3 linked regions of the Arabidopsis thaliana genome follow. The protein of the gene in region 2 interacts with the protein of the main gene of each other region in a pairwise test. Each region holds a gene or a part of one and is shown on either strand. Other genes may lie near its edges. The genes, in order: ADT5, RLF and ADT4.

Region 1 (4,602 bases), 4.5 Mb from region 2:
CAACTTTGCCATATTAAACCTTTACAAGTTTATGAATTAAAAAAGGTTTCAACAACCCCATCGATAAATCTTTTACGGCCAACAATTGCTTGTTGATTGTTTACTTATGTTATAAAACGATATTATTTTCAATATATTATGAATATGTGTTTTCTTTTTTCAAAACGAAGAAAATAAACTAGAAATATTTATATTAGAAGCTGGGCTTCACTTTTGAGACCTGAGGTCACACCTATATATCTTTAACTTTAACGAGAAGAAACATATATATGACACACGAATTACATAATCGTGGCATATTGGAGCTGTTGTTACTTGTTAAGTTGTCAGTGATTCTTTTATTTCCTGCATTCTAATAATTTATTATACATAATATTTCGGTATAATTTAGTACATAAACTTATATTAGCGTCATAATTTTTTAGTATAAATTAGTATGTAAACTTTTTGTTAGCATCACTGCATCACATGAGAATCTCTTTTTCTCATTGATAAATGGCTTAATCAATGGGTTAAAAAGTAGGGTATGCAATCAATATACATTCTATTAGAGTTAGAGATATAGATTATATATATCTTAGGATAATCTACATCCACAAATATGTCTCACTAGATTTTTGTATGTCTTATGTGTTGTCATATGATAAAACACTAAATTAGATGTATTACCTACATATATGTCTCTCTAGTTCTTTGTGTGTATGTGGTTGTTCGAGTTGGGCCACTGTACTAGGTTTCCTTCAATGGTGCAGATCGATCAGGTTTGTTCGAGTGGGTTGCTGTACTAGGTTTCCTTCAATGGTGCAAATCAGGTTTATTCTGATTTCTGAGGCTAGTATAATCTAGCTTCTTAAGGAAAAACCCACTTTATGTTTTAAATTTTTTTGAGCCATACAATTATTTATTTATTGTTAGGCGACTAATTAATTATTGATTAATGTATGAAGATAAACAAAAAAGGTATATAAGAGCATATATTTTAAAGATATTAAGGATATAGATCGATCACTCTCATAATCTTAATTATGTATATAAAGATTTATTTTTAAAACACCCAAAATTGAAAATTGAAAGTCTGCATCCACATAAACTTAAAACTAAAGAAAGGTTGGTTTGAAAGATCAAATCAGGTGAACCAGGTCTCATTGTATAGGCTTATGGTTTAGATTATTGTTCGGAGTGAAAATAATATGGTATATATATATATGGTTTAATTATTGTTGGGTTTAAAATAAATAATTAACTAGTTTGACTACCATAAATAATATGTGATATATTTATCAATTTATATTAAGTATTTTATACAAGAGAATACATCTAAATTTTAAAATGAAAAAAAATAATATACGAATGTAAATATCCAAATTTAGGGAGCGATATGGATTGGACCATGTTCCATGGATACCTTTGCACATATAGTTCGTCTTCTAACTTTTAAAATTATATTATTTTATCATTTGAAAAGGTTATTATAGTTTTTTTGGGTTATTATATCAAAATGACAACTTATGCTAAATGTTTCTTCTTACTATTTTCATTCTAGGAATTTTTTACAATCATTATCCAGTACTAGACTCATATCCCATGCATGAATTTTATTCGGTAATTATTTACAATGTGTAGATAGAGAAACAATAATAATGGGGATCAACAATTTGACTATATGATAAAAATCGATCTTTGTCTTCATTCAAAAGAAAAACCTTAACCAATAAATAACCACCACATAGTTACTTGATACTAAATTACTAATCCACATATTCATACACATGGTCTCTTTTTTTAATATGGTTCTTTTAGTTACCTTGTTTAGTAATCTAGTTTTAAGGATAAAATTTAGAAAATCAAAATAGAAACTTGAAAACATAGCAAAATCTCGAAAGAACGTTAGCATTCGATTATGAGACCACATATGCAAAGCTGCCACGTATGGTCCATTTATCCATAAATCTGCTAATGACATTATCTTATTATGAAAAAAGATCTTTACTCACAATTAGCAGCAATAAATCTTTAAAAGGCCTCCACTGATTAACACGTACCGAGAAATTCACCATTTTTTTCCTAACAAAGCAAAGTGAACATATTCAAATAAAAACAACTTTATAATATAAACAACAAATATCGTTCAGGAAAATCAAATGAAATGTGGTAGGTGAAGGATTTGACGGAACTACCCTTCAAGACACGTCAAGACTTTCTTTCTTTTACAACATTCCACTATATAAACACTTCCTTCTCCACCATCATCTCTCAGCTTGCAAGTTCTCTCTGAACCATAGAACTCCAAGCTTGAACTGTACTCTACTCGTCGTTTATATCTTACTCTTTTGTTTCCTCTTACCAGAAAAAATAAATAAACAGCAATTTTTTCATTTTTCGACTCAAATCATGCAAACCATTTCGCCTGCGTTCTCGTGCGATCTCAAATCCGTAATTCAACCGAATCTAACGGCTAAGAAAGCGCGTTACTCTCACGTAAATGGAAAGCGCGTGTCTGTTCGTTGCAGTTACAGGTCTGAGTCGTTTAGCTTCCCTAACGGTGTTGGCTCAAGCCGAGCCGATTGGCAAAGCTCATGCGCCATCTTAGCCAGTAAAGTAGTTTCGGCTGAGAATTCAAGCTCCGTCGCCGTCGTTAACGGACACAGTAACGGCTCCGTTGATTTAAGCCTTGTTCCGTCAAAGTCGCAGCACAACGGAAAGCCTGGATTGATTCAGCCGTTAACGATAACAGATCTATCTCCCGCGCCGTCTCATGGATCTACTCTTCGTGTCGCGTATCAAGGAGTTCCGGGAGCGTACTCCGAAGCGGCCGCCGGAAAAGCTTACCCAAACTCCGAAGCTATTCCTTGTGATCAATTCGACGTTGCGTTTCAGGCGGTGGAGCTTTGGATCGCCGATCGTGCTGTTCTCCCAGTTGAGAACTCTCTCGGTGGTTCGATTCATAGAAATTACGATCTTCTCCTCCGTCACCGTCTCCACATCGTCGGAGAAGTTCAGATCCCGGTTCACCACTGTCTCTTAGCTCTTCCCGGAGTTCGTACGGATTGCATCACGCGAGTGATTTCGCATCCTCAAGCTCTGGCTCAGACGGAAGGATCGCTCAACAAACTCACTCCAAAAGCAGCGATTGAAGCGTTTCACGACACAGCCGCGGCGGCGGAATACATCGCTGCTAACAACCTCCACGACACGGCGGCGGTAGCGAGCGCAAGAGCAGCTGAGCTCTACGGACTTCAGATTCTCGCCGACGGGATCCAAGACGACGCAGGAAACGTCACGCGCTTCCTTATGTTGGCGCGTGATCCGATCATTCCCCGTACCGATCGTCCGTTTAAAACGAGTATCGTTTTCGCAGCTCAAGAACATAAAGGAACTAGCGTTTTATTCAAAGTGCTTTCCGCGTTTGCGTTTCGAAACATTAGTTTGACGAAAATCGAATCGCGGCCGCATCAGAATTGTCCCGTTAGAGTCGTAGGCGACGAAAACGTTGGAACATCGAAGCACTTTGAGTACACATTCTACGTCGACTTCGAAGCGTCGATGGCGGAGGCGCGTGCACAAAACGCGTTAGCGGAGGTGCAAGAGTACACGTCATTCCTCAGGGTGCTGGGAAGTTACCCAATGGATATGACGCCATGGTCCACGTTACCTAGCGAAGACGTATGACACAATTAAAAAATTTATCTGAATTTTAAATAACATTATGGTAAAATTATCATAAGTAAAATACATGGAAACTAAAGTAGAATTTGTAGAACTCGTTTTGCATGTGAAGTGGGAGGATAATATTATTTTATTTCTCTTAAACCAAATATTTTGTGTGTATGTATTTGCTACTATTGGAACAAGACCGGTTTGTAGTTTGGTTCTGATGATTACAATTGAAGATATTTCTTAAGCTAAGCACATTTTAATTCTCATATTTTTTTCGTAGTAAAAATTAGAGAACCTAATATATACCTTAATTTGTAACGGAATTTGTTATAGCAGAATCATTAACAATAATCTTTGAAGCTATGCTCTAAGACTCCCCACGTACGTTAACCAACAGAACAAGAAAGACTTTCAGATTCTAAACTATAAAGTTATTAAATTACAAGTTATATTACAAAAGTCGAAATTAATGTGTGAACACGAGTTCGGTTTGATGTTTCTTGCTTTGAAACAAAAGTATAATCATCCATCTGGTCGTGTATATACGTACTATGCCAACTTCCATGAATTTTCACTGATTAGTTTATTAAAGTTCTCAACTATCTTCAGGAAATTCAGTTCGAGTTGCTAAAGAATTGGGCATATAATTTCCACGAAACTTTGCATTTGATAGATAATTTAACATGACTTGACTATTTATACTAGATATGTGTAATTTCCCACCTATCTTTTAGGGTCTAAACATTTTTGCATGCCAAAAGAGTTAGGTGTGGTGGAAGCTACCATATGCTCTTAACATCCATCTTCTAGAATTATAATCTTCGATTGTAAGCCTGAACATTTTCATTTTTATGAGATATTTAAATTTTTAGCAAAACAAAAAATTGGCATATGAGTTTCTTTGTACATGTTTCTTAAGCTGTACTTTTAAAGTTGTAGACAATG
Region 2 (4,020 bases):
AATGATTTCATAGACCAAACAAAGTCTAAAGATAGAAACAGTCATGCATTATTATTAGTAAGTCATGAACTCAGATTAAGCAAAATTAATGATAAAAATCCAGAAGAAAATTTAGATGTATAAGGTGAGTAAGAGAATGAAGGATGAAGAAGAGAATTCAAATACCTGGTGGATCTGAAACTCGGGCTCACAGATAGAATTCCAAGGAGAAGACAAGAAGAAGATTTCAGAAACAGGTGTCGAAGATAGAAGACAAAAAGATTATTGGCAAATTGGCAAATATGATAGTGGAATTATTATAAGCGTCGAGGAGTCAGGTTTTGTCTACAATGTGAAATACCTAAACTACCCTCGGTCTTTTAGCCCTCACTTCTGATTGGGGATTTGATAGTTTGCTAAAACAAAACTTGTAATGGAATTTGTTTTTAAGACATCAACTTTGTTCTGGTTTACCCTATAATCCATTCCGAAATTTGTGTAGATTCTATTTACTCATCTATAATTTGCCATTCTGAAATATTGTAAAAGAAAAGAGAACATGATGCCACTGATATGGAAACTTTGAATATATTGACACCAAAAATTATAAATTTCTAATACAGTACATATTGTAATCAGAGTTTACATTTGAAGAATCAGAATGTAAACATTAAAAAATTCTTATTGACTTATGTATGAATTCTCTACAAGAGTGAACTCTTTTAGCAATAGCAATTAGGGTTCTTGCTTCTTCACTTTGGTATCATCCAAAACTCCAACAAGGCATTTCTCAAGTAAGATATCAACATTGACCCAGGCATGGTATTTGTTGAATAAGAGCGTACCGTCTCTTCCAACCGCTTTCATCAGCATATCGACACCTCCAGGATGAAAATTCATATAAGGCGATATGTTGTATACACGACCTTTCAAAACAGTCCACATCGAATCTCCTGTTCGGTGTTTCTTTACTTCATCCATTGGAATAAGCCTCTTGTTTGACTCTCCCTTCAGGCCTGCATAAACAAATTGTCTCTTTCATTAACCAACACATCAAAATGTATTTAGGAAAAAGAGGACTAAGAAAAGAAAGCTTTGCTTACCTGCAAGATCGGGATGTGTTCGTGTAAGTTTCAACCAATCCATTTGGCTATAACCCTTTTCAAATGGAACCTTGGTACGAGTGATAGGCTTTCTAGCTGGAGTTTTGAAAGTCTCAGAGGATTCATTGGATTGCTTTTTCGAAGACGAAGAATCAGTCACCGTGAAAGACAAAGAACCTATTGTTTCTTCCTTTGGAGGAAGAGACTTGTCTTTCCAAATAAGACCATTGCTTTTTTGTTGATCTAACCCATCTTTAAGGGTAATACTACCTACATCTGATGCAAGATCTTTAACTTCACTATCTGGTGGTGAAACCTTCAAAATTGAAAACAAACCAAGAATCAATCATAAAAGTCTAGAACTTTCACGTTTCATAAACATTGAAATCATGAAGAAATGAGTGGAAACTAACCAACCTTTGAGAATGTGAAATCATCATCTCTACTAGTATCCATCTTGAGCTTAATCTGCACGCAGTTTGCATAACAATTCGTATCAGTTAGAAACAAAACCTAAAGTCTATGTAAAGCACTCACGGGAAGAAGAAGACGAAGATCTAAACAAACGAAAGTTGGAGGCAAAAGCAAAGTCTAAAGGTGACGATAATAGGGATTATTGGGTGGGAATTTCTTAAATTCGGAAACTTTAATCTAACAAAAACAGATTTGCAATTCTGATTCATGAATCCATATCAAGCAAACAATAACAAGGGAAATCAGATGTACTAGAAGAAAATTGGATAGATACCTGGTGGATCTGAGACTGCTCCAGACAGAGAATCAAAGGAGAAACAAAGACCAGTGGAGAAAACAAAGAGCGACGAAAGAGGGAGAGATCTAATTGGCCGTCAAGGATTCTTATGAGAATAATCATGTTCTTCTCTGGAGGCTGCAATCAAAATACCAAATTCGAATCGGTCTAATTCGGTTTTGTTTTGGGGTTGTTGGATATCCGATACAATTTTGGTTCGGTTCAGGTCAGAGATATTCAATCCGAACTTGTAATTTGGTCCCGGTTTTGTGTAAAGGTCTTCGTATTTTTTGGTTTTGTTCGGTTATCTATCTCGGCTCCTTAATTTGGGTTGGTATCAAGAAGTTACAATTTACTGTTAACCAGAAAAAAAAATGTAGTCACACAGTACAAATTATGCAATCCCATCACTTAGTAACGAAAATGCTGGCGAGAAGAGACCCCAAAAAACAAGATCTGCTCTCACATTCTCTGCTATAAAATATGTACCAAATTGTCCTCTCTTGTCATTAAGATCCGATGAGTCCTCTAAACCGAGCGTACGACAGTATAATCACGAACAAGACTATGCAAAATGTTCCCGTGAGACTTACGACCTTCATCAACAACAACAAAAAACACATACCAATGATATCATCAGGTTAAGGTGTTCCATTCTGGTGGAAACTGAAATGTGACTCGTACCCATTTGAAAATGTAACCATGGTCGTGGTTCCATGTGTTGGGAATGTTCATGCCGAATATTCCGGCGATCATAGAGTACACTGATACACAGACGGTTCCTGCGCTTAACATTAGCTCTAACTGCAGAGAATTTTATTGCTTTTCATACACATCAAAAAAAATTTAAAAAAACTTTAATAATCCTGAGCTTTTCTTTTATATTCACTCACCTGAATCAGCTGATTTCGATGATTGTCTAACTGCAAATAAACAGTGATTATAGCCTGTAAGAGAAATTACATTTTCACAACATTTAAGAAATTCTGACTTTTCATTTTTGGTTACCTGGATGTTAATGTAATCCTCTGTGTCATCAATATACTCGCGTAGCTGCATCATGTTCAATTATACTTTCTAAGTCGGAGATACCACAAAGACGAAACAGGAACAAGAAGATACAATACCTCGGTTAATTTGTTCAAAGTGCTGTCTATTTGCATGAAGTATGCCTATTAACAAAAATCACATTAATGGTTGTTTATACTTCATATGTAGCTGGAAACAAGTATTACCTCAAGCAACATTTCAAGCTCTTCAACATCAGTTTCGTCGTCTCCACGAACCGTGACTAAACTCACTCTACTTGCTCTGGAAATCATAGAACCTATTGTTGGGGAAGTAGGATACCAAATGGGTTCATCTGAAACGCTGACAGATGAAGATGCACCAACAAGCTTCCTTGTAAGGTAGAGATCAGCCATATCACCATCATCATCCAACAACTGTTCAAGCTCATCCCTTACCTGAAAAAAAAGCGACGAGAGAGATTAATTCTTCTCTGTTCCACTATCGTATATCTTGAATGTTCACTTGACATATGTGAGGAAGCTTCATACTCATAGTATATGTGGCAACACAAGTTCTAAACATAGACTCTGTTTACCAGTGAAACATACTCACCTTTTGGACCCGAGCTGTCAAACGGGTCATGGCACTCTTCAATTTACGAACTCTTTCCAAGTTACGGCTACTTATCTACAAAATGAAACGGTTCTCATCGACTGAATGGAGTTAAATGAAGTTGGAATTAGATCAGTGATGACAATAATTGCTGAGTTAGCTACCTTCAAGGTAAGTTCATCCAAAGCAGGATAAGCAAACTTCTCTAGTTCTGTTGTCCTTGCAGCTAGAAAACTACAAATAGCTTCCAAGGCCACCTCTAGCGCCCGGAATTCAAACGGGGATTCTATATAGTAACAAACAAACACTTCAATACCAAAAGTGAAAAGAGTGAATGGTTCATTAGTTCTTATGTAGGCATCAAAAGATCAAAGATTTTTCCAATTTATATCCTTAAAATAACAAAAGTTGAGGCCTTGAGGGGTACCATCTTCTTCACCCAAATCACCATCTCCGTGAACACCATGTGCCTCGTTTCCTACAGGTAATCTTCTCTGAAACTCCTCCAGGACGGGGATAACATTTTCATCTGACGAATCTCGGATCAAAACCTAAAAAGCATTT
Region 3 (4,254 bases), on a different chromosome or scaffold from region 2:
TTGTTTTAAGACAGTAGATTATTAATAATCGGCGCTGTTTATAGCTTCCGATTTACATGTGAATTATTACTAGATTCAACATGTAAGTTTCTTGGAAATTATATTGCTAATTTCTTGCGACTCACCTAGAAACCAAACGTTGAACCCTTGAGTTGAGTTCACACGTGACCGGTGACCATAACTTTTTTTTTTTGTATCTACTCGTGAAAACTTCAAGGAAATCTTCACAAAATATTTTAATGATGTTGGAAATTATATCACCAACTACAATAATGGAGACTTGTTTTGTGAATATTATATAAACTTCGAACAAAATCTTTGTATTGTATATTAAATATGATAAGTTGATTTTTATTCACATTCATTTTCATTGGTTTACTTTTTTTTATCATGTAAGCGATTGTTTAATGGTATACATATGTTGTGGTTGAGCTTAGTGAACTTGAGATGAAGTCCTAACAGAAAGTTTTAGTAACAACATTATGCTGATAATTACATAAAAGAATTTGGTCTTAAGCTTTTGATATTGAAGAAAATATTAGGATCATCTCTACTAAAAATATGATTTAATAGAAATTTGTAGTAAAAATACTAATAACGTTGTTAAGATAAACAAAGTTACAAAACTGATCACATTTTTCTAAAAAATATGTGTAAATATATGTCTTTGTTTTTGGTAATGCCAATCATTTTTGCTTTTCTTGGTTAAAATCGAGTGAATTTACCAAAGAAAACCAAGGAACTCAAAAAGATTCTGCGAATAAACCACAATGTTCATAACTATTAAGTAAGAATGTAAGATATATCTGGTAGCTAGTAACAGACAAATAAAATTTTGTTTTCTCCTAATCACCACGTGAATAATGAGCTCTACATTTACGGTTTAATTTCAATGTATACTACAATTTTCACAAAAAAAGAAAGAACAGAATAATTTAATAAATTTATTGGTGAGTTTGTTTTTGGCGATGGGGTCATGCTTCTTCTGTGGATGTCATGGACCATGGTGTCATATCCATGGGGTAACTTCCCAGCACCCTTAGGAACGACGTGTACTCTTGAACCTCCGCAAGCGCGTTCTGTGCACGCGGCTCAGCCATCGATGCCTCAAAATCCACGTAAAACATGTACTCGAAGTTCTTCGACGTCCCAAAGCTCCCGTCACCAACAACCCTAAGCGGGCGGTTATGGTGAGGCCGGGACTCGATCTTGGTCAGGCTAATGTCTCTGAAAGCGAAAGCCGAGAGGACTTTAAAGAGGACGCTAGTTCCTTTGTGCTCTTGGGCAGCAAAGACGATGCTAGTCTTGAATGGCCGGTCCGTGCGTGGGATTATAGGCTCACGCGCCAACATTAGGAAACGAGTGACGTTCCCCGGGTCGTCTTGAATCCCATCCGCTAATATCTGGAGGTTGTAAAGCTCAGCGGCGCGTGCGCTCGCCACAGCCGCCGTGTCATGTAGGTCGTTAGCTGAGATATACTCCGCAGCAGCCGCTGTGTCATGGAAAGCCTCACGCGCTGCATGTGGTGTAAGGACGTCGAGGGAGTGTTCCGTCTGCGCTAGGGCTTGCGGGTGAGAGATCACCCGCGAAACACAGTCAGTTCGGACTCCCGGGAGTGCGAGGAGGCAATGGTGGACCGGAATCTGAACTTCTCCAACGATGTGAAGACGGTGACGGAGAAGAAGATCATAGTTTCGATGGATCGAACCACCGAGTGAGTTCTCCACCGGAAGCACAGCTCGATCAGCGATCCAAAGCTCCACCGCCTGAAAAGCAACGTCAAACTGGTCACAAGGAATGGCGTCGCAATTGGGATAAGCTTTTCCGGCAGCTGCTTCCGAGTAAGCTCCGGGAACGCCTTGGTAAGCTACACGTAGACTAGAACCATGCAACGGTGCCGGAGATAGATCAGTAATAGTCAACGGCTGAGCAGGAGCTAACTTTCCGTTAGTTGACTCAACGGCGACGAGACCAAGATTCACAGAGCCGTTCGTGTGACCATTAACGGCGGCGATTTTGTCCGCTAAACCACCGGTATTTTCAACAGAAGCAACTTTACTAGATAAAATGGCACATGAGCTTTGCCAATCAGATCGACTCACGGAGACACCGTTAGGGAAGCTAAACGACTCCGACCTATAACCGCACGTAACAGCCACGCGCTTTGGAATCGCGTGGGAGAAACATTTGTTCCTAGACGTCGGATCTGTTGATCGGAACTTGAGATCACACGACGTTGCGGCTTGCATGGTTTGGTAATGATGGTAAGACAAACAAAATTTGAGAATAAAAGCTGTATTATAGATTTATAGTGTTGGAAAGCTTGAGTTCTTTCGTTGAGAGAGAAGCTCAAGCTGAGAGATAAAGGAGAAGAGAGATGGTCTTATATACACACTAACACACAAGAATAAATTTTGTTTTGTTTTTGACAAAATTAGTCTTGACGTATGTAATTCGGTAAAATCCTTCACCTACCACCTTCCATGTAATTTCTATACTTTTTTTTCTTTCTGAAAACTATAATAATAGTTGTCTTTATTGAAATATATGATATTGTTGGTTTACGTGAAAGCGATATTCTTCATTTCTTCTTAGTTCTTACCATGGTTTTGTATTGTTGGTGTTACGTCCATAGATTTTTCTACAAATATCAAGATCATTGGTGTTTCTTTTGAGCAGTGGATGGTAAAATTTCTCTTAAAAAGTATTGAATATTCTATTATTATATATACATATGTATATATATATATATAGTTTTTTAATTGTTTGTTTTTCAATTAAAACTTAGTTACCTACTTCAAGAAAAATTAGATAGTTTATCCGCACTATGTGTGGGATAAATATATTATAGTAAATTTTTTATTATTTGAAATCTGAAATTTGCCTGTGTATTATTTAATGTAATATTTTTTTTTTGAACCATCTAGTTTTTGCATTAAAATTATTATTGCCCGTATATTGATTGTTATTAAATATGTATAAATATATTAGTTATTATTTTTATAATTTTCTTATTAAATTAAATTAAAATTATATTTTTAGAATCTTCTGAATATTTATAATTTACTTAAGTGTAATTGATATTATTTTTGGAAAAAACTTTATTTATAAATGTATTGGTAATATCTGATTAGAAAAATGAAAGTAGTACTATATTAATATTTTTGTTAACATATGATTTATGTTTCTATATAAAAACGAAAGTAGTTCTATATTAAGTTCTGAAATATTACTTGCTTAATTATTAGATTATTTTAATTGGAATTTCTTTTTTTAATTATTTACTACTTTTAATTGGATTTACTTTTTATTGTTTCTGTTATTGAGATATTTATATGTACTACTAATGATAAATTTTATAAATGATCTAGTAAATGAGGGACAATGAAGTAAATTGATTGAGAATTGCTCTGACACATCAGCTGGCATTTCTGTAAATACGACTGTAACTAAATTTTGTTTTTTAAGTGTGATTCTCTATTAATAATTTAATATATAGAGGATAAATGAATTCAGAAATTAATAAAAATTTTGATTACGAAAATATATAGTAGGCCCAAAGTTCACTTTCTCATATGTGGAATTTTATATGTCCACGAATAACACGGTTCAGCTCACCTTCTTTTACTTTGACACAATCGCCAAGCTGTGAGAGCATGCGCAGACCATAATGGACACATATATAGTAAATGGTTTTGTATTTATTATGATTTATGAAGTTGTTGGTCATTTTCATTTTTGACGATGTCTATTATTTGTTCGCTTTGGTGAAAATATTTGGTAATTAATTAACAAAGTGAATACTGTTTTACGAAACTCGGAAGGTGATCTATGATCTGTCATTTCGGGAGCATATATTTATATACATGATTTGTATTTGACTGATAACATATTTCAGGATCTTGGATATTGAATCCGTTTCTACTACAAAAAACCGCAAAATTGTGTGTTTTATGCCAAAATCCCTAAATTTGTGATTTTTTTACTTAAACTGTTTTCCAGTAAAAGTCGCAAACTATGTCATCCCGTAAAAAGTAACAAAATCTTGTTTCCGTAAAAAAAAAGTGTAACATTGAATTTTCCGACAGAATCATTATCTTATATTCTTTTCTGAATAATTGCTGAAAATGACCTTTTCACATTATCCTTTTTTAATTATACTCTTTCCTATTTGTCATTTTCATTTCTACCCTCTTTAAATTTTTTAATGACCATTTTACCCCTATTTGGAAATTGTTTTAGGTAAACAAAATG

Evidence for each region.
Region 1: the proteins of RLF (region 2) and ADT5 interact in a two-hybrid assay, tested with the Arabidopsis thaliana proteins (one large-scale study listed by BioGRID).
Region 3: the proteins of RLF (region 2) and ADT4 interact in a two-hybrid assay, tested with the Arabidopsis thaliana proteins (one large-scale study listed by BioGRID).

Annotation. Positions count from the first base shown.
Region 1 is NC_003076.8:7,522,254-7,526,855, forward strand, and holds ADT5 (arogenate dehydratase 5), read left to right. Parts: upstream 1-1,832; 5' UTR 1,833-2,391; coding exon 2,392-3,669; 3' UTR 3,670-4,017; downstream 4,018-4,602. UniProt on the Arabidopsis thaliana protein: Converts the prephenate produced from the shikimate-chorismate pathway into phenylalanine.
Region 2 is NC_003076.8:2,998,648-3,002,667, forward strand, and holds RLF (reduced lateral root formation), read right to left. Parts: upstream 2,012-4,020; 5' UTR 1,957-2,011; coding exon 1,831-1,956; exon of another isoform or gene 1,551-1,830; coding exon 1,500-1,550; intron 1,399-1,499; coding exon 1,083-1,398; intron 996-1,082; coding exon 715-995; 3' UTR 548-714; downstream 1-547. Other genes in the region: MGT7 (magnesium transporter 7), read right to left, coding at 2,343-2,429, 2,518-2,637, 2,727-2,756, 2,842-2,886, 2,961-3,005, 3,069-3,299, 3,457-3,531, 3,621-3,742 and 1 more.
Region 3 is NC_003074.8:16,269,754-16,274,007, reverse strand, and holds ADT4 (arogenate dehydratase 4), read right to left. Parts: upstream 2,498-4,254; 5' UTR 2,250-2,497; coding exon 975-2,249; 3' UTR 595-974; downstream 1-594. UniProt on the Arabidopsis thaliana protein: Converts the prephenate produced from the shikimate-chorismate pathway into phenylalanine.